Canis lupus familiaris: one gene and its partner. The protein of the gene in region 2 purifies or fractionates together with the protein of the main gene of each other region. This does not show direct contact. Links are inferred from orthologs where the notes say so. Each region holds a gene or a part of one and is shown on either strand. Other genes may lie near its edges. The genes, in order: HOXB6 and ANKRD17.

Region 1 (4,393 bases), on a different chromosome or scaffold from region 2:
CGCCGAGAGAAGATGCTGAGGCCTGGGGTCATCAGGGCCAGAACCCCCTCCCCCACTCGACCCTCAAACATGGACTCTAGCCTGTCCCGGGATGCCCTCCACTCTTCGAGTTTCCTGCCCACCCACCCCCTTCCTCACTCCTCCAGCGCCCCCTCCAGATTCCCTCTGGGCCTCCCAAGCCCGTGCCTCTCTGGTCTAGACCTTTGGTGGGGGGATGGGAGGCGAGTTTAAAAATCCCACCTGAGCCTAGTGGGGAGGGGCCGGGGAAGCACGGCCAGGTGTGTCTCTTCCTAGCCTTATCTTTTCTTTCCATCTATCTGGCTTCCCCACCACCCTGTGATAGATTCCAGCCCTTAATCCGTAATGACGTGGATCGATCCACAGTCGGCATTAACGGCTCCTCACTTTCGTGTCCCACTAATGGACATCAATTTGGGACTTAAGGCCGACAAATAATCCAACCTGAGACCCAGGCGCCTGCTTCTCCCTCTCTCCCCCTCCGCCTGCTGCCTCTCCCGTTCTTCCCCCTCATTCTCCCTCCCTCCTCTGACTACCACCCCTTTCCTGGTGCCTCCTCATTCCCCGGCCCCGAACCCCCAGGGAAACACAGTCCCGGACAGACTGCACTCTCCCTCGCCAGCGTCACGACGCCCCCCTTCCCATGACGCACTCCGTTTTTAATGGAACCGTCTTCGGGTGGGGGGACCCGACCAGGGCTGGGGCGGGGGGGGGTGCGCGAGGGAAAGCCACGCCAGTGGCTGCGGCCCCTGCCCCCTCCCCGGCCCCGGGCCCCGGAATCGCGCTCTGGCGCGGCGCTCCGGGAGAGCCCACTCGCTCCCCCTGGTTCCCAGTGCGGCTGGGACTTTGCAAACTTTGTAACTCCTGAGGGCGAGAGGACAGAGCGGGAGACCCGGGACGGGCGCCCCGGCTTCCCTTAGCTCCTAACTGAGATGCCCAGCCGGCACCCTGGGGGCTGCCGGGGGTGGGGGGCGCGCTACTTCTGCCCCGGGGGGTGGGGGACCGCGGGAGGGCTCACTCACTGTTGCACGAATTCATCCGCTGCATCCACGGGTAGACCGGAGTGGAGCACTTCTGCTCTTCGGCCTCGCCGAACACGCTCTTGTCCTGCGCACAGTCGGACTTCCGCGGCTCGGGGTGGAACCGGGGCGGCTCTTCCGCGCCCGAGAGCGCGCAGGCCGACTCCTTCTCGCGGTAGAAGGCCGGCGCCGGCCCGTAGTCGCAGGGCGCCGCTCGGCCGTAGCCGCCGCCCGCGGGCGGGTAATAGGAGGAAGCGGCAAAGCCCTTGTCCTGACCGGGCCCGGGCCCGTAGGGCGCGGGGTAGTGCCTCAGCGGGTCCGCATAGCCCGACGAGTAGAGCGGTAGCTGGCCCAGGAAGGACTCCTGCCCGCTGGCCAGAGTGACGGGGAAGGTGGAGTTCACAAAATAGGAACTCATTGGGAGGGGAGGCGCGCTCGGCCGCTGCTGCTCCGCCGGGTTTATGATTTGTTGTGTTTTATAGTCCGAGCGCCGCGCCTATTAGTAGTATATCTGAGATTGGGTTTTAGCTGAGGGGGGATGGCGAGGTGCCAGTGAGGGCCAGAAGGAAATACAACCATCTGATCCAACACTGACCAATGGCAGAGGCAGGAATTGTCAAATAGCACCCAGGAGGAGCGCAGCCCGCGCGAGGGACCCGCGCACAAACCTATCAACCTTTTTTTTTTCCTCCTTCTTCTTCTCGTTTCTCTCTCTCTCTCTCTCTCTCCCCCCAACAACACAACGCGTCCTGTTCCACCTACGTAGGATCTGCGAAAGAGGCGTCTGTGTCTTGGAGGGAGGAGGGAGCATTTGGATTGAGACCACCCCATCCCCCAGTGATTAAATAAATATATCCCTCCCCTCCCCACGCAGGATAGGAAAAAGTTAATTGTGTTTTCAGAAAAGTTAACCCCTGCGTTGCTTGGACCCCTTCCCTCAAGGGAAGGGTGCCTAAACGTCCCTCTCTGCGTGGTGACGAGAGAACCAAAGGGAAAGACTTGTTTCTAGGGTTTTCTGTAGGTAGGAGAGAAGAGTTCACTATTTAGCATCGCTTTCAGGGGAGGCGAAGAAGAAGAAACACTCTCCTTCCCAGGTTTTGAAAACTGTTTTTCCTGTTTCTCAGTTCTCCTCTGCCTCCTCCAAGCCTGGGTTTATAATTCTTGCTTCTTCACAGCTCTTACCGGCTGAAGGGCAGGCCAGAGCCTGCTGCCCAGAGAACCCAGGAGGTTGGGAAATGGGAGGAGAGTCTGAGCCCAAGCTTCTCCCTCTGGCTCTGTGGCTAGGTTAGGCGAGGCTAGACTAGGAGCTTCTTGGAAGGCTGCTGCTGCTGCTGCTGCTTCAGCTGCCCAAGACATCCTGCCTGGTTGGAGCATGTGATGCTTGTTCTTGGCCCCTGAAGGGACACTGGGGAAAGGGACTAGCTAGCCTTCTCTTCCGCTTGCTGGGGGCATAGGGAGAGTAGGAGTGAGGGGCATCCCCCAGCCTAGGTTTGTCTAGGATAGGGATCCTGCCTGCCACCCTCGCTCCATCCCACCCCCTACGCCCCAAATCACTAGAATATCCTGGGCTACAGATTCTTAGGGATCAAAGATGTCTCAGTACCCCTGGGCACAGGGAAGAAAATGTTCTTCCTCCAATTCTGGGTCCTCAAAATTTCCTGATTTTTGAGACAATCAAAGACAACCGGAAAGAGAAAGGCCCTTGCTCCTTTTCCAGGTCTCTCTAGAAGCTGGCAGTTCTTTTGAAAATGAATTCTTTCTCAATAATTGGTTTGGGTTTAGTTTTCTAAGGAGGGAGAGCTGTCCAGGTCCTCCTGGGGACTCAGCAGGCAGCTTACAACCATCAGCCCGAACCCCCTTCTGTCCGCCTCTCAGGATCCCTCCAGTCCCTCCCACATCTCATATTTGTATCACCAGCTTTGCTGCTGCACAAGCTAGGATGTGAGAAAGAGTGCCCATCTCCGTTCATTTCTCTCTCTCTCTCTCTTTCCCTCTCTCTCCTTCTCCCTCCCTCCTTCTCCCTCCCTCCCTCCCCCCCCCCACCATGTAAGGAAAATGAGCATTGAAGCCAAGCTGGAAGACTGAACCATAATATATTTTCAACAATCTAACTATGCATGTGGAGGCCAGGCATTAAAGGGAGATAACCTTCAGACCTGGGTTCCGAAATGAGCCAGAATGTGTGGCAAAATCTGATGATAAAGGGGCCAGGCTGACTCTCCTCTGCCTTGTCCTTTGGGCTCCTTCTTGTGGGCCAGATTTTTGTCCACTGAAGATGGCACGAGACACGAGTTAAAGTGGTAGAGGGCTGAGGTTGGTGACCCGAGAGTAGGAAGCTGGTTGATTGCAAAGTGGCCTGCAAGGCTTCCTGAACTCAGGACAACTTCTAGGCTATAAATTCATGGCCGAGTAGTTATCCCTGCATGTCCCACCAACCACTTCCTAGTCAAACTCTAAGGAGGTGTTATCAAGATTTAAGAAAACTCAAGCATCCTAATGATGAATCCTAAGTGCCCCAGTCTAGCTGTAATTGGGCCCATTCCTAGAGAGGAATGGAGAACATTTGGTCTAGGGGAGGGGCAAGATCAGGAGAGTGCCAGTCTGCACCTCCCTCCTCTCTGCCACAGACCTTGGGCCTTGGACCACAACCATCCTGCCTCCTCCCTGACCACAATGCCCTCTTCCTAGAACTGGACAGTATGGGCTTTGCTACAGAATCTGGACTAAGTAGGATGCCATAAGGAAGGGCATGAGAAGCACTAAAATAACTGCTTGATCCTTAGAGTCACAGCCCCAAATTAACCTCACCTCTGCAGGTTGCCTGTCGTGAGATGGAGCCGCCAAGGCAGGGCCTGGGCGCCTGGAGTCCGGCATGAAAGGAAATAGCGCCTCATCGCTCTTATCTAAGCCCAGAGGTATTTATGAGCGTTTATTCGTCTGATCCGTTTGTTTGGGAGAAAGAGCAGACGGGCAGGGCCCGGCCAGAGGCCGCCTGGTTTCTGGAGCCAGATCTCTACGAATTTGTCTGTAGTTCGGTCCACTGCCGTCCGTCTGTCTCCAACGGGGAATATGTAAATACCCAGCAGGCACAGCTGTCTGCCAGTCCGGGGTGTCTCTCTCAGCCTCATGGAGAAAGTGTGTAGATAGAGAGGTGAACATAAATGTGTACCAAGTCTTGAGTACACAACAGAAGGACTGTACAGAAACCCCACAGGCAGAATTTATAATTGTAATTTTCTATGCTGTGAATATGAGCTCCTGTGGATGTGCACGCATTTTCATCTCCCAGGGAAATGTCCAAGTTGTGTTCAGCTCATGACTAAAATTCTCCTGTACTGGTAACCTCAGGAAGGGAT
Region 2 (2,480 bases):
CAAGCTGGTTCATATGCACACTGTTCATATGAGGTGCCCAGGGTCCAGTCCACACCTACGAATACAGAGTATATGTTTTATTAAGTATTATACATGTACCATATATTTGATTAAAACTCTTAAAACCTAAGGAAGTGCTCTTAATACCTATGAGCTAAAATAGCTAAATCTCATTCAATTTGCAACATACTTAGCAACAATGAAGAAAAACAAAGATAAGTCACTTTTGTTTTCCTGAGTTGCTTATTTCTCAAACAGGATCTGATTTATCATCATTCATTCATTTATTTATTCATTTATTTATTCATTCATTCATTCATAAGAGACAGACAGAGAGAGAGAGAGAGAGAGAGAGAGAGAGAGAGAGAGAGAGGGAGGCAGAAACACAGGCAGAGGGAGAAGCAGGCTCCATACAGGAAGCCCGACATGGGACTTGATCCCAGGTATCCAGGATCATGCCCTGGGCTGAAGGCGGCGCTAAACCGCTGAGCCACCGGAGCTACCCTTATCATCGCTTTTTAAAAACCATTACCTCAACACATATAGACTGATGACTAAAGGAATAGGAGTCAAAGATATTAAACAGACACCAAAATAAGCTAAAATATACTAAGCATTTCTGTGAGTTTTTGGCTTTCTGACATTTATAATACTACTAATAATAAATAACCCCTAGATGGCCCTTTTAACAGCACTAGTAAATTTTGATGTATAAAATTACACTTTGTAATTTAAAATATTTTTTACTTACCATCTGGTCCCAATGAAATACACCTTTTATAATTTTAGCTCCAACCACTACCTTTGGTACTATTTTCCATATCCTTCTGTTGTATTTCAGCTATACTAAATTTCCTCAACTACCTATATTCACCATACTTCCTCACTACCATGATTTATCTGTGTCTTATTTGTCTTGGGATCTCAAAAACACTAAAGAAATGTTCACTGAATGATCAGACTTACCGTTTGAGGGCCATTATTTTCTGTGGAGCTTGAAACCATCTTTATTAGGGAGTTCCAAGAGGGGTCTGCAGCATGAGGGCCATTAAATATGGGTCCTCCAGCACCATCAGGAATAGGTGCTACTGGAGGAATCATTGCATTCCCATACACAGAGAAAGGCATACCCTTAAAAGAGGAGAAAACAAAAATTAGGCACATAGTTGTATCTCCAAGTCACTGCTTACTTTTTCCAATATAACTGATAGCCTTAAAAATTATATTTGAAACTGCATCTTATTTTGAAAAGTATATTATCTAGGTTATCTAAAAATTATTTTCCATTATGTGATTTCTTTTTTCTTTTGGCCTACTATAGCCAAAATATTTGACCAAAAAACATTTCTCTAAACAAGTGGGATATAAATATCCCACAATATAAATATTCCAATATACCAATAATTCTATTTTAGCCAGATTTTGGCCTACAATCACAGGCTAAAGCCTGCAAATCATTTCAACAAGTACTCATCCACTTGTAAGGAAAATGAAGCTAATAAGAAGAAAAACATTCAGAAATATGAAAGTCACCATTTAAGTCACCATTACCCCAACTTTAGGAAAGTCCATGTATCCTGCAGGAACATGCTGATGGAATGTACCAGAAGGAGTTACAATTCCTGTACTCTCTCGCTCCATTGCTTGATGCTGTGAAAACACTCCTGGATCGGACATTGGCCTATGAATCATAGGATTTCCCATACCAGGGTTACACCAGTCTACTTTGTCTAAGGAAAAATAACAAGGCAAAAAAAAAGATAGCTGGTGATCTTTAAAACCAGAAGATAGCAAAATATTTTGTATATTTCTATCTAGAATTTTCCACATTGAATTGTACATTCCTTCAGAATAATGACTGATTTTATATATTTACTGCAGTATTTCCCTTGTGTGTAGGTAGTGATATAGTAGTCTAATAAAATAACCTAAATATTGTTTTAAAAAGAAAAAAAGCCATAAGATAAAGAGTCCAAAAGGAAAATTAGCATCTCCTTAATATGATGAAATGAAAGAAGGAATATACTTGCATTAGATAATTTTCAGAAAACAATTAAAAATTCAACAGGAGATCACATTACAAAAATTGGCTTGAACTCAAAACTGGTTAGTGAAAACTAAGAGATATGAATACAGATCTTTTAAGAATGACTGTTCTTATTACTTACAATATTTTAGTTAAATGCATATACTTAATTTCTAGTAGGCAGGATAGCATGTCTTACCTTGATTGCCACCAATCCCTTCAAAGGACCAGATGCCGCTATGCCCTACTGATGTAGATAAATTACTCCCAATAACAGATGGAGCTGAAGTTCCAGTTTGCCTGATACGTGCAGAACGTTCCGTCCCAATAGGGACTGGAACTTTTCTGTCCTGAGAGACATTGCTGGGCTTTTCTGACCCTAAAGGTACTGATGATGGGGCAGGAGACGGTGCACGAACTCCAGAGGATACAGACTGTGCAGGAGAATCTAGAG

Evidence for each region.
Region 1: the proteins of ANKRD17 (region 2) and HOXB6 purify together in Homo sapiens (co-immunoprecipitation; 3 studies listed by BioGRID and IntAct, with this or other methods). This does not show direct contact. The link is inferred for Canis lupus familiaris from reciprocal best matches to the Homo sapiens genes ANKRD17 and HOXB6.

What each region holds. Positions count from the first base shown.
Region 1 is NC_049230.1:24,810,731-24,815,123, forward strand, and holds the start of HOXB6 (homeobox protein Hox-B6), read right to left. Parts: upstream 3,056-4,393; 5' UTR 1,456-3,055; coding exon 1,041-1,455; intron 1-1,040. UniProt on the Homo sapiens protein: Sequence-specific transcription factor which is part of a developmental regulatory system that provides cells with specific positional identities on the anterior-posterior axis.
Region 2 is NC_049234.1:62,953,857-62,956,336, forward strand, and holds part of ANKRD17 (ankyrin repeat domain-containing protein 17), read right to left. Parts: intron 2,475-2,480; coding exon 2,226-2,474; intron 1,731-2,225; coding exon 1,552-1,730; intron 1,132-1,551; coding exon 967-1,131; intron 56-966; coding exon 1-55.